7 linked regions of the Macaca fascicularis genome follow. The protein of the gene in region 3 interacts with the protein of the main gene of each other region in a biochemical or structural test. Links are inferred from orthologs where the notes say so. Each region holds a gene or a part of one and is shown on either strand. Other genes may lie near its edges. The genes, in order: E2F1, TRIP12, CDKN2A, NPM1, SERTAD1, CDK4 and CCND2.

Region 1 (4,155 bases), on a different chromosome or scaffold from region 3:
GCCTGGGCAACATGGCAAGACCCTATCTCTACTAAAAATACAAAAATTAGCTGGGCGTGGTGGTACACGCCTGTAATCCCAGCTACTTGGGAGGCTGAGGCACAGAATAGCTTGAACCTGGGAGGCGGAGGTTGCAGTGAGCCACAATCACGCCACTTCACTCCAGCCTAGGTAACAGAATGAGACCCTGTCTCCGGAAAAAAAAAAAAAAAAAAGTTAAGTTTTCCATAGTAAACACGTATTATAGTTATAATACTTGAGTTTGTGGAAGTGGACAGGCAGGGCCAAGAGGAATGGCCAAATCGCACAGAGCGTTATATACAGGTGTTCAACGAATGCCTGCTGGTATAGAAGCTAAGCCTGTAGCTTATTTCAAGGACTGCCCCAGACAAATGCCAGTGCAGAGAGGCCAAAAGCCGAACCTGTGGACTTTCTGGACTTCAGCTCCAGAATGGTGCTAGCCTCCTGGCCCTTACGTATTCTGGGAGCCGGGGCTCCTTGTCTCTGTGCCTAGTGCCTCCTGGGCATTCACTAATTCAACAACCGTTGAATGAATGCAGTGCCCAAGCCAATGAGCCTGCCCCTGACAGGTGGCGCGGAGGGCATTTTTCTTTGCCCCTGTCCCTCCCTTTGATCCTAGAACCCATAATCCTGTTCAGTTACTTGAGGACAAGACCCTCGGGTTCTGTTAGGTTTCTGCAGACCTGAGCCTGCTATATGCTTGTCACACAACTGAATGGAAGATGCTTGCCCAGGTCCCAAGCGGTACCCACAGGGACAGGTCCCTGGAGTACAGGAGACAGGCCACCTGGTCCACCCCTGGTACAAACCCCTCCCACCCACTCATTAAGAGGAAGGGCCCCTAAAAGCCCTTCCTGCCCTTTCTCCAACCTTTATCAGCATCTCTAGGAAGCAAGGCGTCCCAGAGGTCAACCTCACAGAAAATGCAGACTGGTCTCCCCACTCAAGAGCAGAATGACATGGGAAGATTCTAACATCTCTAGGCCTCAGCTTCCCAATCTGTAAAAAGGGACTGCTGCTGATAGGGTTAAATGAGTTAATTAGGTAAAGTGCTTGGCACAGAGCCTGGCACACAAGACATCCTCAAAACAATGGTGGCTGCTATTGTTATTATTATTAGCATTGTGGTGATTCCGGAAGGCAGCATTGGGCATGGGGCCAAGGGGGTTGGGGGAGCCTCCTCAGGATGCCTCAGGGACCAGCTGCCACCCACACCCCCATCAGCAGTTAGGCAGCTTCTACCTCCTTGTCCTGAGTCCTGCCTCACCCCTCCCACTTGCTTCAAGCTCCCTGCTGAGACCCCATCCTGCCTGGCCAGGCCCCGCCTGCACACCAGAGCCCCACCTTCACCCATAGGCTGCGCCAGTCAAACTGGTCTCCACACCCTGCCCTGCGCCCCACAGGTCCCAGCTCTACACCTCCAATCCCTTCTCCCACTGTAATTCAGCCGCCTCTTCTGGGCCCCCCAGTCTGAACTGGTCTTGAGCTCAGCGATCAGGGAGGACTTTATTAAAGGATCTCCCTGGGACATTTTCTCTCCTGGCACTGGGGGCCTCTCCAGCTCCCAGAGGCCCAGCCCACCTAGTCCTTCTACAGAGACTCAGGGGTCGGCCTGCCTGATTAATGAGGTTCCATGGCAACCAGGGCCTGGGAGGGTGGAGGGTGGCAGATGGAAGGACAGGCAGAGGGAGGGGACCTGCAGCTGGTCCAGCTGCCCCGCCCCTGCAGAGAAGGCCTCCCAGCCAGGAGGGCTGTCCCCAGAGGCCTGGCCAGCCAGGCCTGCACCTGGCAGTCAGCATCGAGGCAGAAGGAGGGTCTCCTCAATGGCTCACCAACGGTTAGGCCCCAGGACCTTCCTCCGCCCCGCCTTCACTTCCCCTAGCAGCTGTGCTCACTACCGAGATGCAAATTCTGAGCTGAAGCCAGCAGGCCTCAGTTCAAATCCCAGCCCCACCACCTGCAGCCGTATGACCAGGGGCAAGTCACTTCCCCTCTCTGGGCCTCAGTTCTTCCTCCGTCAGATGGGCACAGTGACAACACAGCTCACAGCGGGGTTGTGAGTTTTAGCTGACTTGAAGTCGGCCGAAGGCCTGGCATGCAGTAAACGCCAGTTGAATACACGTGGGTTATTATTATCACTGAGTCTGACGCTGGGGAGCCTCCAGTGAGGAAGCTGAGGCCCAGAGCACAGAGGAGCAAACAGGGACCGGCCCGAGGTCACCCCGCACCCCAGGGCGGGGCCCGCAGGCCCAACCCCGGCTCTGCACCGCCCAGCCTGGGCGCCTCAGTCAACCCCTCCCCCGCCCCCTGCCGCCTCCAGGCCAAACACGGCGCCCTCCCGGGTCTGCGCGGGGGGCACAGGAGGCGCTGTCGGCGCGTCGTCCCTGGGGTCCGTACCGGCGGGCGGCCGAGCGCGGGGCGCGGCGCACTGGGTGTGGGCCGGGGCGCCTGCGGTGTGGCGAAGAGCAGCAGGTCAGGGTCGCAGGGGCCGGCGGCTGGCGCCGCGGGGCCGGTGGGAGCCGGCGGGGCGCTGGCGTCCTGCGCGGCAGAGATGATGACGATCTGCGAGGAGTCGAGCAGCCGCAGCGCGCCGGCCCCGAGCAGGGCCTCCAGCGCCGGCGCGCATGGGCCGCCCGCAGGGGCCCCGGCCAAGGCCATGACGCTCACGGCCCGCGCGGCCCAGGTGACAGGCGGCGGCGGCGGCGCGGGCCCATGGCGGCAGGCCCCGGCGAGGGCTCGATCCCGCTCCGCCCCCGGCCGCCGCTGCCTGCAAAGTCCCGGCCACTTTTACGCGCCAAATCCTTTTTGCCGCGAAAGAGCCACGAGCCGCCGAGCGCCGCCACAATTGGCTGCCCGGGCCGTGACGAGAACGACGGCGGCGGCTCCTATTGGCTTTAGCGCGCCGGACCCGGCGGCGAGGGGCGGGATGGGGCGGCGGCGCGGGGCGGTACGGCCAATGACGGGGCGGGGCGCGCGCAGGCTTTGTCCGGATGGTGCCAGGCGCGGTCTGACTCCCCGCCCCCAGCCCGGGCGTCCCCTGTTGGAGGCGTGGGGACACGGGAACACGGGCCCCGCCCTGCCCCGCCCCGCCCTGCCCCGCCCCGATGCTCCCGCATCCCACTGCCCTTTCTATAGTGCAGGTTCAGAACAGAGCCTCTGTTCTGCACGTGACCCTCAACCTGTAGCCTTCCACAGCCTCAGCTTAGATTTCCAGAGACTGCCCCCTTTTTTTTTCGGGATCATCAGTTCCACAGCCCAGCCATCAGCCACCTCTTCCATCCTCAACTTGCCTCACCCATGACATTATCCTAATCCTGCACCCGGCCCTATCCCGCTCACCCAGAGCCCAAGCTGAAGAGCGGTGGCTAGAAATGGCGGGGGGACGTCAAGCTTTCCTGCAAGTCCCATTTTAGCCAAAATCTCCAACAGCCAACGTAAAGCGTCGGCCTGAACTCATTCATTCCCTCACTCATTCAACAAACGTTTGAAGAGCCTGCTCTGTGCCTCATCCTTAAATCTGCCCCATCCTTAACTCGTGGCCCTGAGGAGCTCACAGTCTAGTAGACGGGAACAGAAAGGTAACAAACGTTTACAATAACATGAAGCGTCGTCTGGGCGCGGTGGTTCACGCCTGGAATCCCTGTAATCAGAGGGCGGGGTGGATCGCTTGAGTCCAGGAGTTTGAGACCAGCCTGAGCAACATGGTGAAAACCCGTCTCTACAAAAAATACAAAAATTAGCCAGGCATGGTGGCGCGTGCCTGTAGTCCCAGCTACTTGGGAGGCTGAGCTGGGAGGATTGCTTGAGCCCGAGAAGTCGAGTCTGCAGTGAGCTATGATCATGCTACTGCACTCCAGCTTGGGTGACAGAGCGAGATCCTGTCGCAAAAACAAAACACATCACTTCTGGGGAGCCCTCCCAAGGATTTACTCGCTTCCTCTATTGCCCACTGCTGCCTCTGTTCCAATGCTGACCACACACTCCTTTTCTCCATCTGCCTCCCCTACCAATCTAGGAGCTCAGTAGCGACTCCTCCCATCACTGGTCTGACCGAGAGCAGGCGCTGAGAAAGGTTATGAAAGAAACAGACGCTAAGCCAGAGGCTGCTTAGACTGTGACAAGGAGACTATGGTT
Region 2 (4,130 bases), on a different chromosome or scaffold from region 3:
TAGAACGGATTCACTGCGCTATTAACCGTACCCGCCCCCCCGCCCCCCCGCACCGGCCCAACCTTTACACACAGACACATTCCCTCCCCGAGTTAACTAACGAAGCAATTAAACTATGCCCACCACCAGACTCGATGCTTAGGCTAAACCTCCCCCAGACAAAGTAAAACAGCATTATCAAAAAAACAAACAGATCTGTCTTAAGGGTTTGGAAGCTGCCCCTTCCGTTCTCTCCTCACCACGTAAGGTAACCAATTCTCTCCTGTCCCCCACCAGCAGTTCAAACGTGTGATTTCCCCCCATTGACATGTGCTTTTATGTTTTTCCGTATTTTTCCGTCTAAGAAACGAAGGATTTCTTATTCTGAGGAAGGGAAAGACGCTGAGGAAGACAGGATTTGAGGTTTTACTACCTTCGTTATTCGAACTCCCCTCCAACTTGTTCCTGTACTAGAAAACCCACTCACTATGGAGAAGGAAGGAGAGGGGCTGCACTGATGGACAAACGTTGTAATAGGTTTTATGTAATCCACATATAAATAAATTAATCGCCTGACTCGCTCTGAATGCTAATACGATTGGGGTGACAATTGGCCCACCTCCCTCCCCCAAGTCCTAGTTAAACCCACCTACCACCAATTTCCATTCTGATCTATTTAAAAGGATACTCTATTCCTCTCAGTCAAGTTTCTTGGCTTCTTTAGGCCTCCCTGCATGCCCCCCTCGTCATCATCCTCCCTCAGCCTCAACTTCCCACGGCTTAAAAAACTGCCCCGCGCAGACCCCGTCTCCGGGCTCGCCCTCCCTCAACCGTCCCTCGCCGTCCCCCTGGGCAGGAAACCCCTTACTGCGGTCTAAAGTCACTCCGGCCTCTCCCTCCTCTGACCCTCGCTTCCCACAACTGTTGTCACTCGAGCTGCTCCCTAGTTTCCATTTCCGGGCCGTCCACAGACCCGGAGCCTCCCCTTTCCCAATTTCCGGGCCCCTCGTCCCATTTCCGGGGAACCCTTGCCGTCTTCACACCCCCCACCTGCACTTCCGGCCCCCCACTTTCTCTCTTCCCAGACACCCTCCAAGCTCCAAAGCCCACTTCCGGCCCCTCTCGACCCCCGCCGAGCTCCCCAACACCCGCAAGCCTTACCCCGGTTCTCTGAAGGGCCCTTCTCATTGCGGGGAGCCGGAGGAGGGACCCAGAGACCCCTGCCTCCCGCCGGGCCCCGGTCCCTCCGGCCGCGGCGGCCCTCGAGCGTCTCTCCCGTCCACCCCCGGCCCGGTCCTTCCGCGGCTCCGCCGCCGCCGGCGCCGGGAGCAGGCCAAGCGGGGGCCGAATCGCGGCGATGACACAACCGGGCTTCCTGGGACTTTCTGTTCCAGCTCCTCCCCTCGCCCCCCCAAACCCTCAGCTGGCCCCCTCCCCCCAGGCCTGCCCCCGCCGCCCGGAGCTGCGCCCCAATTACCTAGTTAGGCCCCAAAGTCTCCGGTCCGGACTCGGTGGCGCGGCAGTAACTTCCACTAGCTCCCCCCACCCCCCCCAGCGGCGGCGGCAGCGGCGGCTCCGGGTTCCTTCAATTATCAGCTGAGCCGCAGCACCGCGCTCGGCGTGCGCCTCCGCCCGTGCCGCCTCCCTCCCCGCCCGCTCTGACACCCTCGGGGAACTACTTTGCCCTCGGGCTCTGGTTGACGGGCTCGTCCGCGGGACCGGCCCCGCTGCCTACTGGCGGCCCATCACATCGCCCCTCCCTCCCCTACCGCCCGGCTCGACTCTCCCAGCAGCCTCCGATCTCCGCCCGATCCCTTCGAGGGACCAGGAAGGGGACTGTGGAGCTCCACTTGGTATCCCTCCGCCGGGATCACCCCCTCCCCTCCGTGGTAGCAGGAACTAATTCCCCTTCGGGTCACCCGGGACCTGGAGCTGGAAATTTCACGGATCAGGGTTCCCTGAGACCCTTGGAGAAGGGGAGAATCGCCCCAAGTTAGAAATCCTTCTGCCAGCTCATAAGCGTGGTTCAATTTAAACTAGGGTTTTGGCCCCTTGACCCCGACCAAGCCCCGCCCCTTCCTGGTTGTCTTAGCGACGGCGGTGGCGTCCCAAGATGGCGTCGAGGCTGCCGGAGACTCTGTTTGAAACTGTAGGACAAGGCCCGGCGCCCAGCAAAGACTATTACCAGTTACTGGTCACCCGGTCTCAGGCAAGTGCGAGCCCCGGTTTACCCTCTCTCCTAACTCCCTACCTGGCCCGGTTGGGGCCCGGGACCCAGGCTGTGCTAGGCCGAGAGCAGCCGTAGCCCGCCGGAAGCGCCCGGTCCCGGCTCCGCGCCGGGAGATTTTCCTCGTCACCTCGGCCTCCTCGGTCCGGCGGCCCGCGTGTCCCTGCTCTCCCCGAGCCCGGCTAGTCCCTGGCAAGCCTTCTCTGCCTCCCCGCGGTGCCGCGCGCTCCTTTCCCGCCACCCCGGCTTCCTACCCGTAGAGTTCCCTCCGCGCGAAGAGGAAAACGGGCGTCCCAGGCTTGCGTGCGGCCTCACCTCAGCGTGAGAAGGAGGGAAAGAAAGACTCAACCAAGTGTCCCAAGGAGGAGCGGGCTAGGGAGGGGAAAAGGAGATTGCCTCTTTTCCAGGATAGGAATTAATCATGGAGAATTTTATAAATCTCTTTGTGGCCTTTACGCGTGCCATGGCCACATCAAAAGTTAGTTATTTCTAGTAGCAATTGACGATTGGGAGCTCTTCTCTTACCTTTTTGAGTCCCTTCTATCCCATTGAAAGTGTGCGGGTGGTGGTATAAAAATGTTTCAGCAGCTCTGCGCTTCAGCCCCACCCATAATGACATCTGCTCCACAACAATAAGACCGAGGATTATATTATCTCCAAAGTAACCATCGGCCTATTTTTATGCCTACTTTGGTTATTGAAGGTGGGCTTTTGGATGATTTACTGTGTCCATGAAATTCTCAACTTGAGCGGGGCCTCCATTGGGAAGACGTTTTCTAATCCTGGCTGAGCTTATGCCTGTCACTGAGTTATTCATGCACCCTGCGCTTGCAATAGATACTATTCTATTCCTATAAAATGAAATTTAGAAGTTTGTATATATTTGTTTTGGTGTGCATATTGATCATTCCCTCGATTTTCCCAGGAGCCCTTAAACAAAATAGGTAATGAGTTAATTTTTTATATTTTTAAAAGCATCTTTTAAAATATAAATGTTAATATATTTTTTTAAGATTTAGAAATATTACAAATGTAATATTAGACTGTCCAAAAAAATTTTTTTAAAAAACAGTACTGCTCCTTGCGGAGCAGGGCTAATTCGTAGGCAGTGGGCCCAGAGTCAGCCTCAAATTTTTAATTAAACTGTTTTTAGGGGTTTTTGCTCATTTGGTGATTTATGAAATACTGAAAGTCATCCTTTTTTGTACATTTTTTTTTTTTTTTGAGACCGAGTCTCGCTCTGTCGCCAGGCTGGAGTGCAGTGGCGCGATCTCAGCTCACTGCGACCTTGTTTCACCATGCTGGCCAGGATGGTCTCGATCTCTTGACCTCGTGATCCGCCTGCCTCGGCCTCCCACAGTGCTGGGATTACAGGCATGAGCCACCGCTCCCGGCTTCATACCTTTTTTAAACGGATTATTGATTTTTCCATTGGCTTTAAGATTTATTTGTTTATTTATTTATCAAGAGGGAGTCTCCCTCTGTTGCCCTGGCTGGAGTGCAGTGGCGCAAACTCAGCTCACTGCAACCTCTGCCTCCTGGGTTCAAGCGATTCTCCTGCCTCAGCCTCCTGAGTAGCTGGCTTGTGCCAGCACAGAATTACAGGCGTGTGCCACCACACCCAGCTAATTTTTGTGTTTTTAGTAGAGACAGGGTTTTGCCATGTTGGCCAGGCTGGTCTCAAACTCCTGACCTCCAGTGATCCACCGGCCTCAGCCTCCCAAAGTGCTGGGATTACAGGCGCCGACCACCACGCCTGTCCAATTTTTTGTGTGTTTTTAGTAGAGACGGGGTTTTGCCATGTTGGCCAGGCTGGTCTCCAACTACTGACATCAGGTGATCCAGCAGCCTCGGCCTCACAAAGTGCTGGGATTATAGACTTGAGCCACCGCGCCTGGCCAGCTTTAAGATTTATGATCCTGAC
Region 3 (4,079 bases):
TTACCACTCCCCATTCCTCCCACTGCCCCCCTCCCCAGCTCCAGCAACCACCATTCTACTCTTTACTGCTAAGAATGTATTTGTTTTATATTTCACAGATAAGTGAGAACATGTGATATTTGTCTTTCTGTGTTTGGCTTATTTCATTTAGCATAATGCTCTCCAATTCCAAAAATTCAATTTCTTCAAGTATAAAATAAGAATGCTAGACTAGCCCTAAAATTCCTTCCTGTGGTAGGTTGAATAAGGTCCCCCCCCACAAATGTCTATGTCCTGATCCTCAGAAACTGTTAATTTATTAACTTATGTAGCAAAAGAGGCTTTGCAGATGTGATTTAAGTAATGGTCTTGAGGGAGATTATCCAGAATTTTCAGGGTGGGCTCAATAGAACCCCAAGTGTTTTTATTAGAGGGTCACAGTCAGAGAGAAGATAAAAGAATGGAAGCACAGGCCACAGAGAAAATACAGGGAATATGAGCCAAGGAATTTGATGGTCACTAGAAGCTGGAAAAGACAAGGAAACAGATTGTCCCTTAGAGTTTCCCAAAGTGGACCCATTTTTGACTTCTGATCTCTAGAACTGTACTGTAAAATAATAATTTTGTTTGTTTTAGCTAACACATTTGTGGTAATTTGTAACAGCAGCAATAGGAAACGAAAAGGCTTCCCAGGTTTATGATTTGAGAGTTCATTAAACAAGAGATGGTCACCTTTTTGGTTCCTAAATCATCTTGGAAACAAAGCCATTTCCAGAGAGGAATTTTAAAATACTGTCTCCAGTCATAGCAACCTTAAAATTTGAGTGTTGCATGGTGGAAATAAACAATTTATTTTAGGATAACTGTTATTTGTTATATTAGCTTGAGGATGGTTGTGTTAAAGAGGAATTACTTATTTTTAGGTACATTTCATACTAAACACAAATTGCATAATTTGCCTAAATCAAGGAATTATACTAAATTATATTATGGTTATTAAATGCTGTCCTGAGAAAGTGAAACTGACTTAGTTTTCAAAGAGACAAAGAGAAAGTATAAGCAAACCAAATTGCAGCTACAAAAAGAAAGACAAAATGTTGCAGCATATTTATTGTTCCGTGTGTTCACTGAAGTTCTCTTTGTCTTGGTCATAAAACTAGCCTTAAAGGTTTTTATTATATTTCATAGAATGAAAAACCTAAAAAGTAACCCATATGTAAATATTTAAATCATGATATAAATCCAAAGCAAAAAGAAAATGAATTCATTGAATTAAAATGTGTAGGATGCTTAAACCCATTTGATAATAAATTGATATGAATTTAGCATTTAAAAATATTATACAAATAAGTGTTCCTATATTAAACACCAGTGTAGTTAGGATTCTAAGCCAACAACACTTCCCCTTTTCTACATGTTCTTCTCCCTTCCCCATTAAAAATTGTCAAAACTATCCACTTTTCTTTTTCCTTTTTGTTTTTAAACAAATAAGGTCTCTTCTAAGATGTTTTAGGACTACAAAGCCAAATTCCCGGGTCCAAGCTGTTGGCAAAATTTTAGAGATGCTAAGTTACCCATGCATTAATTACTTTTAAATCATCCCCTAACTCCCTCACAAAACCGGAGTAGGGAGAGGAGAAACACCACTGTTCAAAAATGAGGAATTGAAAACTCTATCACAAAATAAACTATTATCAAGTAAGCTAAAGATAGCAAAACAGTAAAAATATTAGCAGATATTCCCAAAATGGTGACTACATATTACTTCTGGCACGATCACATGAATGTAGCTCATTATTTCCTAAGTTCCTACAGCAAACATGTATTTATTTGCCCTACTCAGTTAAAAATAAACACAATATGTAGTTGCTTCTGAATGCTTTTTTTTTTTTAATCTCCCTCTCTTTCTTTCTTTCGACAGTCTCACTCTGTCACCCAGGCTGGAGTGAAGTGGCTCCCTCTCGCTGTTCACTGCAACCTCAGCCTCCCGGGTTCAAGCGATTCTCCTGCCTCAACCTCCCGAGTAGCTGGGATTACAGGCGCCTGCCACCACCCCCCGGCTAAGTTTTGTATTTTTAGTAGAGGCGGGGTTTCACCTGTTGGCCAGGCTGGTCTCGAACTCTTAGGTGATCCCCCCGCTCCTTGAGCTCCCAAAGTGATGGGATTATAAGGCGTGAGGCACTGCGCCCGGCAGCTTCTGAATAATTTCGATCAGAAATTTATATTCGATATTTATTCCAACATACAGCACAGATTTCCACTGATAATCCCTACTAGTAAGAAAGATAAACTCCATCCAGGCATCTGTGAATTGGGGGCTAAGTAGTCCCAGCACATCTTACATTTCTTTAAGACTCCCGTTTTATCTCAAACCTTCGTAAGTTTTGTATCTGATAGAGCATACTTCCATCTAATACAAATATGTTCCCCCCTTCAGATCTTCACAGCATTCGAGAGATCGGCACGCGCGTGCCTCCTCATTCCTTCCTTGGCTTCGCAAGCACCCAGGGCTTCGCCAGCAGGAGGTCTGTGATTACAAACCCCTTCTGAAAACTCCCCAGGAAGCCCTTTTTTCCAGACTCAAAGCGCTACCTGATTCCGACTCCCCTGCAAACTTCGTCCTCCAGAGTCGCCCGCCATCCCCTGCTCCCGCTGCAGACCCTCCACCCACCTGGATCGGCCTCCGACCGTAACTATTCGGTGCGTTGGGCAGCGCCCCCGCCTCGAGCAGCGCCCGCACCTCCTCTACCCGACCCCGGGCCGCAGCCGTGGCCAGCCAGTCCGCCGAAGGCTCCATGCTGCTCCCGGCTGCTCGCTCCCTGCTCTCCCACTCTCCGCAGCGGCCAAGTGCACGCGGCCGCCCCACCCTCTGGTGACCAGCCAGCCCCTCCTCTTTGTTCCTCCGGTGCTGGCGGAAGAGCCCCCTCGGCCTCTGTCCCCCTCAACTCCTCTGGAGGGATCGCGGTATCTTTCCAGGCAGGGGGGCGCCGTTCGCGAGTGCTTGGAGGAGGTGCTATTAACTCCGAGCACGTAGAGAATGTGGCACCCCTGAAGTCGCCCCAGGGTGGGCCTCCCCCGGGGGCACCAGCCGGAAGCAGCCCCCGCCAGAGCCAGCGTTGGCAAGGAAGGAGGACTGGGCTCCTCCTCCTCACCTGCCCCCAACACCGCCCTCCGGCCTCCCTGCTCCCAGCCGCGCTCCCCCGCCTGCCAGCAAAGGCGCGTTCGAGTGCGTTCACTCAGTTAAAAAGAAAAAAAGAAATCCCCCCGCCCCCCGCCCCGTTTCCTTCCTGCGCGGTACAACCTTCCTAACTGCCAAATTGAATCGGGGTGTTTGGTGTCATAGGGAAAGTATAGCTTCTTCTTTTAATCATAAGAAAAAGCAAAACTGTTCCTTCCTAGTTGTGAGAGCCCCACCGAGAATCGAAATCACCTGTACGACTAGAAAGTGTCCCCCTACCCCCTCAACCCTTGATTTTCGAGAGCGCGGGGTTCACTAAGTCAGAAATCCTAGTTCAAAGGATTCCTTTTGGAGAGTTGGCCTACCCTCTCCTTCTCCACCCCTTCCCCTCCTACGTGTAAAATGGCTGTCTGGGGCAAGGGTTTCTCAGACGTGTACATTGCCTGGTATAACAGCAGACTCTGAAAAGATGAGGTTTATTTAATACGGGGGAGATTTCTGCCTGTAGGCAGATAGGAAAATGGAGATGGAGTCATTGGAAGGACGGACTACATTCTCAAAGTCATAATTCCTAGACCAGAAAAAGTGCTCAGTGTTCTAGAGGCAGAGTTGCACAGTGATCCAAAGACCCGCTTTACACATTGTCCTGTCTCCTACACACTCCTCACATTTCTCTTTCCTACTGAAAATACTTTGCATTTTTCTTAGTTATAAAGGGAGAAGGGAATATGGGTACCCCCTGCTTTACAGGGGTGTTGTGAGTTTAAATGAATTGTTGTATATTAATACATATAAGAGTTAAGAACACTGCCACACATCCTAAACTAATACCTGTTAGCTCTTGAATTATCCGTTTTGAGGATTGGCTTGCACTCTTGTTTTGAGGCATAGAAAGAAAATGCTTTGGAGCCGGACGCGGTGG
Region 4 (4,153 bases), on a different chromosome or scaffold from region 3:
CAACAGTTGCAATGAGGCACATGACTATGATTTTTTAAAAATACAAGTATAAACCTATCACTGTTACCTCAGAAAACAAATCTGTGCAATGTTATCCTCAGGTTTTGTGATCTTGGCAAATCAATTTCTCATATTCAGAAAATTTAACAAATGCATAAATATGCATACACACAATATAGATCACCTAACTTATTTATTGAGCAACTTCTAAGTTGAGAGAAAAGCTAGTCTCTGGTAGACATGTAAGATTATCGATGCCTTTTACAAGGGCTTTATAATCCAACTGAAGAAAATAAGGCAAGTTTAACAATGTGACTGGATTTTACATGGTTACCAAATGAGTATAGATGCCAAGTTCTTCATCAAAGATGTACAGACAGTGAGGTACACACAATACCCAGGTGTAAGAAATAGTATTTTATAAGCAGTCAGCAAAGGAAAAGTCTCAAGCCACATGAATAGAAACTAAAAGGCTGAAATCAAGTAGGGTTAAGTAGTTTATTTTGAAAGTTTAAGTACCGTTCTTAAAGATAACTGGTGCTCATTTTCATCATTATCCACCTTAAAGTGATAATCTTTGTCGGCCTTTAGTTCACAACCTGTAAATGAAGAAAAAAGCAACTCTAACAAGGAGAAAAATAACACTGAAACTTAAGTGTGGGTAACCAAAAAGGTCAGGTCTAACTTTTGAACTAGTTTTCACAATTTTAGCTACCAGAGGGCAAAGCAGAATGATCAATTCCTAGATTTCTTGAACAGAAACCTCTACAAACAAGTAACACCCATAGAAGTCTACAATTCTATCTTCTCCTCATACCATATTTCATCTCTAACTACGCTGATAGGCACTGTTATTCTGCATACAGAAACGAGCTCAACGGTTTAGTAAATCTGAACCTAAAACAATTACCTGAAACCAAATGTAATGTCCAATGTTAAGTTTCCCACTATTTAAAACAGCTGATTTACCCACCTAAATTCCCAAATGGAAAGTTCGAAATGAGAACGGTTACAAACATGAATAGCTTACTATTACAAAAGAAAAACGACAAAGGTAAAAGAACCAAAGCTTGCTACAGGGGTCAACACTCTACTCTTTAAAGCAACAGAAAGTGACATACGCCTGAAACTATATTCAGAAACTATGTTTAAGACAAGGAGGGTTGTTTCCAACAGTTATCAAAAAGTACTGATATAAATTTATCAGAATTCTCAGTTATCCAAAACAGCTAGGAATTAAAGCCTTAATGTTTTAAATACATGTGTCTACTGCCACTCCATCCATGCATGGGCAAAATTCTTTAAAATACTGTCAGAATAAAAATTTTAAATAATTCCATTAACTACCATCTAACTGTTACCAATACATATACATGCTTAAATGTGAAGAGGTTTAATTAACAAATCTCAGCACGGATAATGAACAAGATAAAATTCACGGTAGGATTCGCACTTACTTCAAAGTCTGAATAGTATAAAGATTAGGCTTCTGTAATTAAACCTACTGACATTAAAAACCCAAGTGGGACTCTCCTTTTTGGGGCAGGGCTACCGCAAGTCGAAGGTGGTGGTGGTCCCAAAATTCTGCGAATAGTTTTAGGTCTTGATCTGACTCAAATCGAACACTCTACGTGTTTCTTGTATTTAAATAAGCGGTTTGGTCAATGCTGCACAAATGGCGGCATGCGAGGACGTCCCCCTAAAACGAAGCCTCATTAATATTCACGAAGCAGCAGCTACGAGTCAAGGGTCTTGGTTTAGTTTTAGCCTCTTTGCCTATAAGTACAACCTTCGTTAAGTGAGTTAATCTCTGGGCACCAGTGCCGTCATCTGCAAAGTGGGGCTAGCTCCAGCTACTGCAGTGAGACAGAAAAGGGGCTCAAAAAAAAAGAGCTGCCATCACAGTAGATGCTGTAAGCACTGAACAAAGGCCTCCAGAATCCTAGTGTTACCAGCCTCTTAACATTTCCCACTTCAACTGAGCCACAGCATCCCTTGATCTGGAGTAACAACATGCTGGTGAGCCCCGGATGTAGTGCCCACACCCCCCTCCCTCCCCCAACCACGTGGCAACCACGTGCTCCCAGCGGTTGCGGCCTCCTCACGCCGCGCCGCGCCTCCCCTCCCCCAGTAACTGGCCGAAGCACGCGAGTGAAGTCTGGGTCCGGCAGCTCCAGACTCAGGTCAGAACAACGCCAGGCTGTGCATCTACCCTCTCCAACAAGCAGGCCCATGCTTCCCGGTAAACCCAGCCTCCGGGACCACCAACCCGGGGCCTGGGATCAGAAGCCTACGAACGAACTCCGTTAGAAAATAAACCACGCCTGGGGCTCCGCGGCGTATCCCCGGCAACGGCCGAACTTCCAGGCGGCCAGTTCCGCTACACCTCAGGCCCTGGGCCTCGGACTGCTCACGCTCCAGGCGCTTCAGGCCGCTCGTCTCCTCCCCCTTCACGCCTCCGGCTCCCCCCGCGGCTCCAATCCCACCAGGTCCAGGGCTCGGGCAGCTCTTCCCACCCGCTCAGGCCTCCAGCCGGTCTGGCGGTCTCCACCAGACCCTGCTGCAGCCGGATTCCCTCCCCTCACCCCCGCCTTCACCGCCACCAGGCCCCGCTCGGCCTCGCTCCAGCTCCCCCCTGCAGTTACCGAAAAGATAGTTCTGGGGCCTCAGGGGGCTCATGTCCATGTCCATCGAATCTTCCATCAGGTGGCGGCACGCACTTAGGTGGGAGAGAAGGCGGACGGAGATAAACCAACGCTGCTCCAGAGAACAGCCGCGCAGGACGGAATCACACCAGGGAAAGGACGCAAGCTCCCCGCGCTTATATATAGCCCCTGAAGATCTCGCGAGCGCTTCTCAAGTCCCGCCTCCGCGCGCGTGCTCCGGAGCCTTCCCACCCCCGTACCGTAGCTCTCCTGCGCAAGCGCTCTTCAACCACACTCCTTTCTACCTCGCCCCCCACCTCCTTCCAGGTACTCCGCGGGCTCCCACCGAGCACGCGCACTCGTACACTGGCCCCACCCCTCCACCGCTGTCGCCTGTGCGCACGCGTGCTTTCCAGTCGTAACGCGCGCTCCCCACCTCCAACACTTCCACGTCCTCTCCCGCTCAAGCGCTCCGGCCTCCCGCCAAGAGTCTGCGTAGCCCACCCTGCAAAATGGCGTCGGCAGCTCTTAGCTGTGTTAGATATGGCGGGTTGTTAGCTGGCTGGGAATGAGCCGGAGAGCACCTCGATTCACTTCCCCCATACCCTAGTGCCTTGCAAACCTCCAAACAGGCGTAATCATTTCAGGATTTTTTTTTACTTGCCTGAAGGCTTGGGATCGCAGTTAATCGTTACCCCAAAGTTCAGGTGCCGGAGAGTGAATTGCGGCTTATTCTTTGTTAGGAAGGAAAGATGTAGCTACCGGCCAGGCTTACGGAACTGTGTTTTTACAGTTCTGCCCTTCCTGAGAAAACATCTCCAAAGTCCTCATCTTTATGTAATTTGGGGGCCTAAAGGGGACTGAATCAGTCTCCAAATGAGCAAGGACATCGCCCTAAGAGAGCTCGGAGGGTGGGCAGACTCTTGACTTCTTGCCGCTCTTAATCTTTAGGATTCCTCCTGAAAGAAAGCGAGTGACTTATAAGAACTACAGAAGCCTTAATCGAATATTTGGTAGCGAGTATGGGAATTAACATTTTAAGCTACACGTTGACAAACTCCGAGGTACCCCAGCAGCCCCGGGCATTGGGGCGTTCTGAAGACCCATAATTTTTTTTTTAGCCTCAACATATCAAATTTAAGAAGTGAAGAATATAAATGATAGCCTCAGAAAGGAAGACCCCCCCACCCCAAGGCATTATTTCTTACAAGAAAATTATACAGACGATTTCAGCATCCATCAAAAGAGGAATGAACAGTTAAATTATAACATATCCATAATATGCGTTAGTTTTGACACATACTAACGCATAATATGGATATGTTATAATTTAACTCTTCCTTTCTGAGAGCGCCTGTGTCACATAAAGCTTTGAGTCACTAAATTTGTTATGTTTTTTTTTCTTTTTTTTTTTTTGTGGAGAGAGTCTTGCAGTGTTGAGTGTTGTCCAGGCTGAAGTGCAGTGGCGTGATCTCGGTTCAATGCAACCTCCGCCTCCCGGGCTCAAG
Region 5 (4,239 bases), on a different chromosome or scaffold from region 3:
TGCCTGGCCAACAACTATCAATTAAATCTAGGTGAGAGAGTATTCAGGTGTGAGCCACTGCATCCAGCCAAGGGAGGAGTATTATACCCTGTCTACCTCTAGCCCCATCCTGCATGTCTATTCATCTTGAACTAAAAGCTTGTCTTATTACAACAGCTATTACTGCTAACAAGGAAACGTGTTGCTAACCAGGCACGGTGGCATGTGCCTGTAGTCCCACCTGCTTGGGGGTCTGAGGCAGGAGGATGGCTTGAACCCTGGAGGTCTAGGCTGTAGTGAGTTGAGATGGCACCCCTACACTCCAACCTGGGTGACAGAGCGAGACCCTGTCTCAAAAACAAAATAAAATAAAATAAAAAGTAAAGAAAAAAAAAAAAAGGCAGCTGGGCGCGGCATCTCAGGCCTCTAATCCCAGTACTCTGAGAGGGCGGATTACCTTAGGTGAGGAATTTGAGATCTGCCTGGCCAACGAGGTGAAAACCCACCTCTACTAAAAATACAAAAATTAGCCGGGTATGGTGGCACACCCCTGTATTCCCAGCTACTCAGGAGGCTGAGGCAGGATGATTGCTTGAACCTGGGAGGCGGAGGTTACAGTGAACTGAGATCGTGCCACTGCACTCCAGCCTGGGCGACGGAGTGAGAATCTGTCTTAAATAAATAAATAAATAAATAAATAAAATGAAAAAAACACAAAACACATTGCACCCCACTCTGAGGATTTTGCATGAATTGTTTTATTTAATCCTTAAAACAATCCTCTAAACTAGGGGCTATTTTCTCTCATGTTAAAGGAGAAAAAGACCCGAAGGGATTAAAACACTTGCCCCAGGTCACACAGCTGCTTAGGGAATGGAGCCCGGGATGTGATTCCGCACTCCCACCTCACTGCCGCCCTTAACCACAATTAAGTCCAACTGTCCAGCATTGCTTGAGTGTGGTATTGTGTTCTTATAGATACGATCCTATTTAAACTTTCTTGTCAAGAGGTATGCAAGACGATCCCCATTTAACTTTGTGTAGCTTGAAGAGGTTGATCATTTTTCCAAGGTCACGCATCGAGTGAGTGGGGAATCAGGAGTCGGAATTTGAACCCGGGCATATCTGTAGTGTAGACCACTGTCGGGGGTGGATGTGTAAGAAGCTTAATTGCCGGGTTTGGCAGGTGCATGGGTAGTTGTCAGGGGCTCGTACTTTGAGAGGCAAAAGCTCCCACTCGCCACCGTCCCCCAGAGTAAAAAGCCACCTCTTTCCACCCCTCACTCGCGCAGCTGCCCGGGCATGCGCCCAGAAGCCCCTCCTTCAGAATCCGCCCTTTACAGGCTCCGCCCATCACCGTAGAGGGCCAATCCCTGGGGCGGAGGGCGGGGCAGCCACGAGAGTGGGCGGTCGCTAAGGGTAGTTAGGAGTCTGGAGTCGTGAGCCGAAGTCAGAACTGCGTCTCGCGACCCAGGCGCCGGTTGCTGGAGGAGAGCGAGCAAGCGATGCTGCCGCTGCCGTTTCCTGATTGGTTGTGGGTGGCTACCTCTTCGTTCTGATTGGCCGCTAGTGAGCAGGGTATGTAAATGAAGGGGCCTGGGAAGAAAAGGGGTACCAACGGCCGGGTCCTTCACGGAGTTCGATCCCTGGGTCCGACAGGTGCCCGCCGGGGCTGCCCGGGATCGAGACGCGCGGGCCTCTACGTGCTGTCTGCCCCGGCCGGGCCGGGTGAATCACGCCGCAGTCCGAGAAGGGGGCGGAGGCGCCGGCTCCTTGGCTCCGGCTGCGTGACTCACCCGCCCCCGCCGCCGCCGCTTCGGGAGGAGCCGCCTCCACTGCCGGAAGCGAGCGGAGGCCGGGCGCAGAGAACAGCCCGCCTAGGGTCCTGGCTCGCACGGCGCCGGGAGGCCTGCAGGAATCACAGCCGGGAAGGGGGGCAGTAGAAGGGGTTCTGGGGTCAGAGGGGCCAGAATCCCCAGGGGAAAGCCGGCCTGGGCACCGCCAGGGGGCGCCGGGACTCGGGGGCGGAGTCGGGGGTGGGGGCGGAATTCCTGCGGTTCCGGACTCCACGGACTGCGGGGAAGGGGACGAAGACCCAGTTTTGAGTAGTGTGGTGGGCCACTCTTAAAATCTTGCTAGGCAGGGTCCCGGAACTGGACTCTGTTCAGTCTTCCTGGCCCAAAAAAGTAGGTAGCGCCAGGGGTCCAAAACTCCATCCAGCCCTACCCCCGCCACTCCAAGAAAAGAGTGGACCCTCAAACTTATCTCAGTGACTGACCCCGGTGCCGATCACGATTTCTCGACAAGCCCTGTCTATTCTGCCTCCCAAAGAAATCCTGACTCGACCGACTTCCTTCCATACCCACTACCAGCTCCTGCTCCAGGCCATCACTATCGTCAGTCCCAAACCAGTACAGCCTACTAGTGGGTCTCAGATCCCCCCTCTTTTTGCCCCCTACAGTATTCCTCGAAGCAGCCATGGGGGGGATCTTCCGGAAACCTAATCAGCTCACACCCCCATTCCCTCCGTGCTCAAATTCCTTTAATGACTGCCCACCACACTCAGGATAAAATCCAAACTCCCTACTAATGCATATGTGGTTTTCTGTGACCTGGCTTGTGCCCATTCCCCCAGCCTCTGGGCTTTTCTTTGCCTTTTTTTGTTGTTCCCTCCTCCCGGAATGCTTTTCCCAGGGTCTCCCATGGCCGACTTCTCTGGCCTGAGGGCTCCATTCAAATGTCACCTCCTTACAGGAGCCTTCTCTGATCATCTAAAAGGTCTGCAGGACCTTTTAGTGTCTTCCTGTAATTCTCCGTACATTTCCTGTGTTTGCTTATTTATTTACTGTTTGAAACGTCATAGTAGACAATAAGTGTTAAACTATGTGAAACTAGTTTAGTATTTATAATATAACTTACTTAGATATAATTATTTATAACGTTATTATAATATATGAAACAGCTGCTTTTGTAGGGGAAAAAGTTGAATGGTCATTCCACATGGTTCACTGAAGAAATAATAATGTTATCATTAAGTGTACTTATTGGCAGGGCATGGCAGCTCACACTTATAATCCCAGTACTTTGGGAGGCTGAGGCGGGAGGATGGCTTAAGGCAAAGAGTTTGAGACCACCCTGGGTAACATAGTAAGACCTTGTCTCTACAAAAAATAAAAGGGGGGAAAAAAAAGAGTGTTTATTGATTGAGGGGGGAGGATCACTTCAGGCCAGGGGGTTTGAGACCAGCCTGGGCAATATAGTGAGACCCCATCTCTTTTTTCAGATTAAAAAGTCTATAAATATACTTAAATACAAAATTTAAAATTTAAGGCCGGGCGCGGTGGCTCATGCCTGTAATCCCAGCACTTTGTGAGGCCGAGATGGGTGGATCATGAGGTCAGGAGATCGAGACCATCCTGGCTAACATGGTGAAACCCCATCTTTACTAAAAATACAAAAATTAGCCGGGCGTGGTGGCGGGCGCCTATAGTCCCAGCTATGTGGGAGGCTGAGGCAGGAGAATGGCGTGAACCCGGGAGGCAGAGCTTGCAGTGAGTGGAGATCGCACCACTGCACTCCAGCCTGGGCAACAGAGAGAGAGACTGTCTCAAAAAAAAAAAAAAAAATTTTTTTTTAAAGTCTATAGGCTGGGTGTGGTGGCTCACACCTGTAATCCCAGCACTTTGGGAGCCAGAGGTGGGCGGATTACTTAAGGTCCAGGAGGTCGAGACCAGGCTGGCCAACATGGTGAAACCCCACCCCTACTAAAAATATAAAAATTAGCCAGATATAGTGGCGTGCGCCTGCAATCCTAGCTTTTGGGGAGGCTGAGGCACGAGAAACACTTGAACCCGTGAGGCAGAGGTTGCAATGAGCTGAGATCACGGCATTGCACTCCAGCCTGAGCAACAGAACGAGACTCTATCTCAAAATAATAATAATAATAATCTATAAATATACATATGCAATTAAATAAAAATTGTCTATATCTTTAAAGTTCCCTAGGAAAAGCTAGACACAGAGAGGTTAAGTGACTTGCCCAAGATCCTACCTGTAGCAACTGTCAGATCCAGGCTTTGAACTGAATATTTGTTTTCTATAACTGACTATAACTCCATAACTCCCTGCCCTCTGCAGATGCTGAGCAAGGGTCTGAAGCGGAAACGGGAGGAGGAGGAGGAGAAGGAACCTCTGGCAGTCGACGCCTGGTGGCTGGATCCTGGCCACGCATCAGTGGCACAGGCACCCCCAGCTGTGGCC
Region 6 (4,022 bases), on a different chromosome or scaffold from region 3:
AAAGTGTGTTCTGGACACCGCTAAGTGCTAAGAAAGAGGCACTAGGGAAAAAGAGGGAAGCACAATGACTCCAAATGAGCAGTCACAAGGTTTACAGAAGGAGACATGTCATTTTCATTCATTGTGGTGGTCTGGAGGGTGCAGGGGGTGTGGTGGTAACTTTCTTGCACATGTACACTCCTGTATCCATCTTATATATTACATGTAATAAATAATATATACATACATATATACATAGAAGTATATATACACATATAAAAATATCACATAATCATAGAACCGTCCTACTGGGGAAAAAAAAAACTTAAAGGTCAAGTATTCCTGTCTCCTGCTCATTAATAACTTCTCTGCCAGATGGCCTCAGGTCTTTGCATTAACACTCCCAGGGAGATTTGGAAGTTGAGAAAAGAGGGGGCATTACCTTGTCACTGAACCTGTTGGATTACTGTATTAATCTGCCTTCTGTCCGTCCTTTAATCGTAGTTTTGCCCTCAAATGGGCATTGTTTACTCCCTATTTTAGAAGACCCCATTGTTGGCTACATCTTTCTAGATAGTCGTACCACTACTTTAAAGGGCCAGTGACAGACACCAGAAACAAAACAAAATAAAAACCCACATACACACTGGAAGCAAGCACTCAGTAAAATGTTGTAGAATTAATGAATGAATCAATGACACAAATGAGAGTATGTTTTATCATGGTGGAGCGAAAAGGTGACAGCATCACCTCTGGTACCCCAACTCCCATTCCCTCCCCAATGTAGACAGGCTGAAAGACCGGTAGTGAGACTGGAGTTCAGCCTTCAGACCGGTAGTGAGACAATCCTTCAGCCGGGAGTTGGGCTCTGGGTGGCCTAGGTTGCCATGGCACCGCCTCGGGCTCCACCCTCTCTTGTCCCCTTACCGCGCCCCCCCGCGGCGGGGGTTGTGGCAGCCAGTCATGTGCCCGCCGCGTAACCACACCTCTGCTCCTCAGAGCAATGTCAAGCGGTCACGTGTGATAGCAACAGATCACGTGGCTACCATCGCCCCTCCGCCCCCTTACACTCTTCGCCCTCCTCCCCGTCAAAGCGGCTCCTGGCCACCCCTCCGCGCATGGGTGGCAGTCACGTGCCCAGAACGTCCGGCGTTCGCCCCGCCCTCCCAGTTTCCGCGCGCCTCTTTGGCAGCTGGTCACATGGTGAGGGTGGGGGTGAGGGGGCCTCTCTAGCTTGCGGCCTGTGTCTATGGTCGGGCCCTCTGCGTCCAGCTGCCCCGGACCGAGCTTGGGTGTATGGGGCCGTAGGAACCAGCTCCGGGGCCCCGATAACGGGCCGCCCCCGCAGCACCCCGGCCTGGCGTGAGGTAAGTGCAGTCCCTTCCCGGGAATGAGAACCAGTGCCCGCCCCCCTCACAGTTTTCCACGCGTTCGTTTCTCGAGCTGGTTATGGAGGGGTCGCTCAAGGGCGGGAAGTGGGGCCTTTGTGGTCATGGGAAAGTATAATTTTAGGGACTGAGGTGTAGGATCTTTGATGCAAGGCATGTGTCATGTGTGATCTTTGTGCAGGGCGCGATTGTCCCAAAGGAAAATGCGTTTTTTATTGCAGGGCCTCACGTGGCTGGAGGGGTTGGTATTGAGTCATTGTGTTATCTCTGGGGCCGGCCCCAAGGAAGGCTGCGAGCGGGGGATGGGATGCTAGTGTTGCTCTTTGTGCTTTTTTTTGGGAGTCCTTTTGTTGCTGCAGGCTCATACCATGCTAATTCTGTAAGGGACTTTTGGTGATAGGAGTCTGTGATTGTAGGGTCGCCCTTGATCTGAGAATGGCTACCTCTCGATATGAGCCAGTGGCTGAAATTGGTGTCGGTGCCTATGGGACAGTGTACAAGGCCCGTGATCCCCACAGTGGCCACTTTGTGGCCCTCAAGAGTGTGAGAGTCCCCAATGGAGGAGGAGCTGGAGGAGGCCTTCCCATCAGCACAGTTCGGGAGGTGGCCTTACTGAGGCGACTGGAGGCTTTTGAACATCCCAATGTAGTCCGGTGAGAAGGTGGTGACGAGGGGAGTGGGGAGTAAAGGGAAAAGACAGCCTATAGGTGGGGTGTGGTGATCTGTAGAGAAGTGGGGACCCTGAGGAAATAATGAGAGGCCATGTTGGGTTAAAGGGGATTGAAAAGTGAGCATTTACTCTGGCCAGGCTGATGGACGTCTGTGCCACATCCCGAACTGACCGGGAGATCAAGGTAACCCTGGTGTTTGAGCATGTAGACCAAGACCTAAGGACGTATCTGGACAAAGCACCCCCACCAGGCTTGCCAGCCGAGACCATCAAGGTGAGTGGGCTTGGTAGGCATTGAGAGGTGGATTGGGACCTTTGTAGTAAAACCTCCTGGGATTTCAGGTATGGTGCCTAGTTTCCAGTGCATCTGTACCTCCCCCTTCTAAACTAGGATTTGATGCGCCAGTTTCTAAGAGGCCTAGATTTCCTTCATGCAAATTGCATCGTTCACCGAGATCTGAAGCCAGAGAACATTCTGGTGACAAGTGGTGGAACAGTCAAGCTGGCTGACTTTGGCCTGGCCAGAATCTACAGCTACCAGATGGCACTTACACCCGTGGTCAGTAGAAAGATGGTACCAAAATGGGTTCTGGTTGGGAGTAGGAGAGTGATTGCCTGTAGCAATTGAGAAGTCATGTGCTTCATGTGTTCAGTCAAGCAAGTTGTGTTTTGTGGTAACCCATGGAGTCCCCATCCATTCTTCCTATTCTCTTTAGGTTGTTACACTCTGGTACCGAGCTCCCGAAGTTCTTCTGCAGTCCACATATGCAACACCTGTGGACATGTGGAGTGTTGGCTGTATCTTTGCAGAGATGTTTCGTCGAAAGTATGGGACCCACATACCCTGGACCACCTTGAATTCCCCAAATTGCTTGTTCATAAACCACGTCCACACCCTGCCCATTCTTTCTTTTTCTTTTTCTTTTTCTTTTTTTTTTTTTTTTTTGAGACCAGGGCTTGCTTTGTTGCTCAGGCTGGATTGCAATGGCATGATCACAGCTCACTGCAGTGTCAACCTCCTGGGCTCAAGTGATCCTCCCATCTCAGCCTCCCAAGTAGCTGACACTCCATGCCCAGCTAGTTTTTTAATATTTCTGTAGAGGGGGGGGGTCTCAGTATATTGCCCAGGCTGGTCTTGAACTCTTGTACTCAAGCAGTCCTCCCACCGCTATCTCCCAAAGTGCTGGGATTACAAGCGTGAACTACTGGACCTGGCCCCATTCTTTTACTTGCATACTACTGACTACTTTGCCCATAGCAGAAAGCTCTGAAATGCTCTAGAATTAGGAACTTCATATCCCTTTATTCTCTTTTATTTATTTATTTATTTTTGCAATAAGGTTTCACTCTGTCACCCAGGCTGGAGTGCAATGGCCCAATTACAGCTCACTGTAGCCTCTATCTCCTGGGCTCAAGCAATTCTCCCGTCTCAGCCTCCTGAGTAGCAGAAACTATAGGTGCATGCCACCATGACTGGCTTTTTTTTTTTTTTTTGAGACGGAGTCTCGCCTTGTCGCCAGGCTGGAGTGCAGTGGTGCGATCTCAGCTCACTGCAACCTCCGCCTCCCAGGTTCAAGTGATTCTCCTGACTCAGCCTCCCAAGTAGCTGGGACTACAGGTGCGTGCCACCACGTCCAGCTAATTTTTGTATTTTTAGTAGAGACGGGGTTTCACCATGTTGGCCAGGATGGTCTCAATCTCTTGACCTCATGATCCGCCTGCCTCAGCCTCCTAACGTGCTGGGATTACAGGCGTGAGCCACTGTGCCCAGCAATTTTTTTTTTTTTTTTTTTTTAAGAGACAAGGTCTTGCTTGCCCAGGCTGATCTGGAACTCCTGGGCTCAAGCAGTCCTCTCACCTCAGCATCCCAAAGTGCTGGAATTATCGACCTTTATTCCCTGTGCTTTCTATTTTGGGCCACTAAGCAGTAACCATTCAACTAAGATATCTTTGAAAATGACTGCTACCTTATGTCCCTTCTCACC
Region 7 (3,500 bases), on a different chromosome or scaffold from region 3:
CATCTATCTTTGCACCAGCAATAACTTTTCTTTCCATGTCCAAAGGAGAAGTATAGAGATGGGAATTAAGATGCTTCTGTGCCATCAGAATGGTAACAGATTGTAGTTTACAGGCTTTTCTGAGGAATGTTGTGATGGGAATGTCAGCAGGAAGGGGCGTCTCTCGAGTCCTGGGAGGAGCACCAGAACTGTGTACCAAAGAATGGCAGATACCACAAGCGAAGAGTAACCCAGACTGGGGGCAGGAAGGGAGGGGGCAAAAGAGAAGAGGGGAGGAGTATTCAGCATGACTTGCATAAACCATCCCATCTATCGCTCGGGAACAATTTTTCAAAGTGCTTTTCGAATGGAATGGTTTATAACAATGCTAAACTGTGAACCAGACATGCCAATCAGCACCAAAAATTCGTTTTTTTCTAAGAAGAAATGCCAAGGCCACATTACCCTTTAAAATACAATAACAGAAAGGATTCCATTCTGGATCCCACCCTTGGTCTCCATCTGCCTCAGTTTCATGTGAGTTTTGGTGATGGCCCATAGCTACATTTCCCCATTAGGCAGCAATATGGTGGTGTCTGCAATGAACTGCATTTGGAAGAAGCGGGATGTCACAGAACATGAAACCCAGGAGCCAATCACCTGTGTCCAACTGGCAAAATAAAACATCTTTTTTAGGTAGCAGCTACTGTAGACAGCAAGAGGACATTAATGTAGAGATCCAACCACACTCCTGACTTAGTAACAGGTGGCTGAGAGCAAAGGCGCTTCTCCACCCCAAATGGTTCAATCATGTTGAGAGATTGTTTTGTACTCCTTCCCCATCATGTCCCTCCTTATTTCAATTCCTTCTTGAGTTCATTGCTTTGCAATCTAATCATGCCATAAATGGCGTACACAGTTCCTTGAAATTATACTACAAGGGGGTGTATGTGCTAGCTCATAACATGAAAAAAAAGTCTCCACTAATTTGTTCCCATATTGCAGGCATACATATTCTCTAACTACTCTGCAGGTTTTCCTGTAAGCATTTTACTATTACTTTTACATAATCAAACAATAACTGTTCGCATATACAAGGGATTCCCTTATGCTGTACTTCAAATAGGCACCAAATGCTCTTTATTATTCCGTTTTTATAGGACTTTTTTCTCTCACTTCTAAAAGATCTTTAAATATGATCTAGGTGGGGGCAGAATTTTTTTTTACGTTTCATCCTAAAACACAAATAACAAAAACATAACCAGAAAGAAGGAGAGAGCAGATTATGGACGCGTCTCTCTCTTTCGGCCCAACTGGCATCCTCACAGGTCGATATCCCGCACATCTGTAGGGGTGCTGGCTTGGTCCAGTTCATCCTCCGACTTGGATCCGTCGCGCTGGTCCTGACGGTACTGCTGCAGGCTGTTGAGGAGCACCGCCTCAATCTGCTCCTGGCAAGCTTTGAGACAATCCTAGAACAATGGTCCAGACCAGAGCTGTTAGCAGGAGAAACAGGACACAGAGCATCCTCCCAAGAAAACATGCATAATTTAGCTTGCGTAAGTCTATGCTAGTTCCCAGTTGAAATAAATGTGAAGTAAAGGAGGGGTGTTCTTAAAGTGCCAAGGAACCTCACTACTCTAGGTCGGGTCCGTGGGCTGGCAGTGTCAGCATTACCTGCGAGCTCGCTGGAACCGCAGGATCTCAGTCAATCCAGGTCGAGCTCATCAGAACCTGCATTTTAGTGGAGCCCAGGTGATTGGAATTCTGAGAAGCACTGGCCTAAATGACGGTCCACTTACGGATGCCTGGTAATCAAGGGGCCGACCAGATGCTTTCTGCCTGGGGAAGCTGGGAAGTGGCTACTAGAAAAGGGGAAGGCTACTAGAGGTGCTATGACATTAGCAAACTCAGCCCCTGAGAACTAGATAAGAAGGAAGCCAACGAACCAACGTACTGACACTCACATAAACTGTAAATACATTTTCTCACTCTTGTCCCCCAGGCTGGAGTGCAGTGGCGCGTTCTCAGCTCACTGCAACCTCTGCCTCCCGGGTTCAAGCGATTCTCCTGCCTCAGTCTCCCAAGTAGCTGGGACTATAGACGCCTGCCACCATGCCTGGCTAATTTTTGTATTTTTAGTACAGATGGGGTTTCACCATATTGGCCAGGCTGGTCTCGAACTCCTGACCTTATGATCTGCCCGCCTCGGCCTCCCAAAGTGCTGGGATTACAGGCGTGAGCCACCGTGCCTCACTGTAAAGACTTAAAAAAAAAAATCCCCAATTTTTTCTGCTTCTTTACCATTTCCTTAACTCTCATAAAGATATAATGCAAAATGTCTACAACATTCTGGACCCTTGAGCCATCCAATCTGGGAATAAGCAAGAATATGCAGCATTGCTTTAGTTATCCGTCTATATTGTAGGGGAAATGGACAGTGTGTTTGCCCCAGGCAGGAGCTTCCCTTAGGCAGGTGACATGCGATGCAATGACAAGTCACCGGTATCACTAGACAGGGACCATTGCTGGTGTTAGTAAGAGGGTACGAACAGTAGACTTGCTTCTAACAGGCATTTTCTGGCCTCTCTCCTCTGCAAAAGTGCCTCTGTGCACTCTCTTAAGAAGCACATACATAAGCAAAATATGTTAAATTGAACCTCCCGGTGTCTTTTCATAGTTTAATACAAACTTCCCTTTTGCTTCTTTCACTGTGCAGTTCTCCCCACCCAGAGGTTTCTATTTTGCCAAGTCCAAAAGCATTCTCTTTATTTCCCAAAGATCTAAAATACAGCAGGCCAGGCATATGGGCTCCCGCCTGTCATCCCAGCACTCTGGGAGGCCGAGGCGGGAAGTTGAAACCAGTGCGACACCAGCCTGGACAACATAGCTAGTTCCCCATCTTTAAAAACAAACATATAAATAAATGAAATAAAGCTGCAACTAACCACTAAGGAACAAAATTTCCATACCCCTCAAATGTTCCTTTCCTATCGCTCGTCTATTCCACATTTCAGACTACAGCTTTCAGTGAAAATTAAGATTAGGAACAACCACAGACTAAGAGGTCAAAGGCAGAGACAAAATGTCACCTGGAACAAGGAGATGAGGAAGGGTGGTATTTGCTGCCCACCTACCATGCTTGCAGGTGGCCCTCACGTTATTTAACTTTTCTTATCTCAGAGTTTCCCCACAAAACACTCAGAGTAAAGGGCAACTGAGATGATACTGATATACGTGCAGTGCTAAGTAGAGCTCGATAAATGATCATGATTATGTGTAACAATAAATTGGTCCTGGAACCTGAAAGAATCCCTCAGATTTATTTGAAATGAGGTATAGAATTGCCTTCAGTCAAGACTGGTGAAGTGTGTGTCAAGATCGTGTGTCCGGTTCTGGGGCGAGCGCTGAGCATGACAGACGTGAACCAGCGGCAGGAGTCTCCGTGCCACCCTGAACGAGGCTGAAACGGAGTCAGGCACTGGCCTCCAGGAATTGCTAAAACCTGTCAGACGTTCCTG

Evidence for each region.
Region 1: the proteins of CDKN2A (region 3) and E2F1 form a complex in vitro, tested with the Homo sapiens proteins (2 studies listed by BioGRID). The link is inferred for Macaca fascicularis from reciprocal best matches to the Homo sapiens genes CDKN2A and E2F1.
Region 2: the proteins of CDKN2A (region 3) and TRIP12 form a complex in vitro, tested with the Homo sapiens proteins (2 studies listed by BioGRID). The link is inferred for Macaca fascicularis from reciprocal best matches to the Homo sapiens genes CDKN2A and TRIP12.
Region 4: the proteins of CDKN2A (region 3) and NPM1 form a complex in vitro, tested with the Homo sapiens proteins (3 studies listed by BioGRID). The link is inferred for Macaca fascicularis from reciprocal best matches to the Homo sapiens genes CDKN2A and NPM1.
Region 5: the proteins of CDKN2A (region 3) and SERTAD1 form a complex in vitro, tested with the Homo sapiens proteins (2 studies listed by BioGRID). The link is inferred for Macaca fascicularis from reciprocal best matches to the Homo sapiens genes CDKN2A and SERTAD1.
Region 6: the proteins of CDKN2A (region 3) and CDK4 form a complex in vitro, tested with the Homo sapiens proteins (12 studies listed by BioGRID and IntAct, with this or other methods). The link is inferred for Macaca fascicularis from reciprocal best matches to the Homo sapiens genes CDKN2A and CDK4.
Region 7: the proteins of CDKN2A (region 3) and CCND2 form a complex in vitro, tested with the Homo sapiens proteins (2 studies listed by BioGRID). The link is inferred for Macaca fascicularis from reciprocal best matches to the Homo sapiens genes CDKN2A and CCND2.

Annotation. Positions count from the first base shown.
Region 1 is NC_088384.1:89,710,102-89,714,256, forward strand, and holds the start of E2F1 (transcription factor E2F1), read right to left. Parts: upstream 2,801-4,155; 5' UTR 2,680-2,800; coding exon 2,419-2,679; intron 1-2,418. UniProt on the Homo sapiens protein: Transcription activator that binds DNA cooperatively with DP proteins through the E2 recognition site, 5'-TTTC[CG]CGC-3' found in the promoter region of a number of genes whose products are involved in cell cycle regulation or in DNA replication.
Region 2 is NC_088386.1:125,855,031-125,859,160, forward strand, and holds the start of TRIP12 (E3 ubiquitin-protein ligase TRIP12), read right to left. Parts: upstream 2,801-4,130; 5' UTR 2,732-2,800; intron 2,549-2,731; exon of another isoform or gene 2,461-2,548; intron 2,189-2,460; coding exon of another isoform or gene 2,093-2,188; exon of another isoform or gene 2,082-2,092; intron 1,578-2,081; exon of another isoform or gene 1,457-1,577; intron 947-1,456; exon of another isoform or gene 848-946; intron 1-847. Other genes in the region: FBXO36 (F-box only protein 36), read left to right, coding at 2,093-2,188. UniProt on the Homo sapiens protein: E3 ubiquitin-protein ligase involved in ubiquitin fusion degradation (UFD) pathway and regulation of DNA repair.
Region 3 is NC_088389.1:76,950,524-76,954,602, reverse strand, and holds the start of CDKN2A (cyclin-dependent kinase inhibitor 2A), read right to left. Parts: upstream 2,801-4,079; 5' UTR 2,777-2,800; coding exon 2,651-2,776; intron 1-2,650. UniProt on the Homo sapiens protein: Acts as a negative regulator of the proliferation of normal cells by interacting strongly with CDK4 and CDK6. This inhibits their ability to interact with cyclins D and to phosphorylate the retinoblastoma protein.
Region 4 is NC_088380.1:178,182,340-178,186,492, reverse strand, and holds the start of NPM1 (nucleophosmin), read right to left. Parts: upstream 2,801-4,153; 5' UTR 2,704-2,800; coding exon 2,646-2,703; intron 600-2,645; coding exon 520-599; intron 1-519. UniProt on the Homo sapiens protein: Involved in diverse cellular processes such as ribosome biogenesis, centrosome duplication, protein chaperoning, histone assembly, cell proliferation, and regulation of tumor suppressors p53/TP53 and ARF.
Region 5 is NC_088393.1:47,526,844-47,531,082, reverse strand, and holds the start of SERTAD1 (SERTA domain-containing protein 1), read left to right. Parts: upstream 1-1,439; 5' UTR 1,440-1,557; intron 1,558-4,116; coding exon 4,117-4,239. UniProt on the Homo sapiens protein: Acts at E2F-responsive promoters as coregulator to integrate signals provided by PHD- and/or bromodomain-containing transcription factors. Stimulates E2F1/TFDP1 transcriptional activity.
Region 6 is NC_088385.1:64,568,384-64,572,405, reverse strand, and holds the start of CDK4 (cyclin-dependent kinase 4), read left to right. Parts: upstream 1-1,222; 5' UTR 1,223-1,346; intron 1,347-1,783; 5' UTR 1,784-1,802; coding exon 1,803-2,020; intron 2,021-2,175; coding exon 2,176-2,311; intron 2,312-2,428; coding exon 2,429-2,596; intron 2,597-2,753; coding exon 2,754-2,863; intron 2,864-4,022.
Region 7 is NC_088385.1:5,164,640-5,168,139, reverse strand, and holds part of CCND2 (G1/S-specific cyclin-D2), read right to left. Parts: intron 1,452-3,500; coding exon 1,302-1,451; 3' UTR 1-1,301. UniProt on the Homo sapiens protein: Regulatory component of the cyclin D2-CDK4 (DC) complex that phosphorylates and inhibits members of the retinoblastoma (RB) protein family including RB1 and regulates the cell-cycle during G(1)/S transition.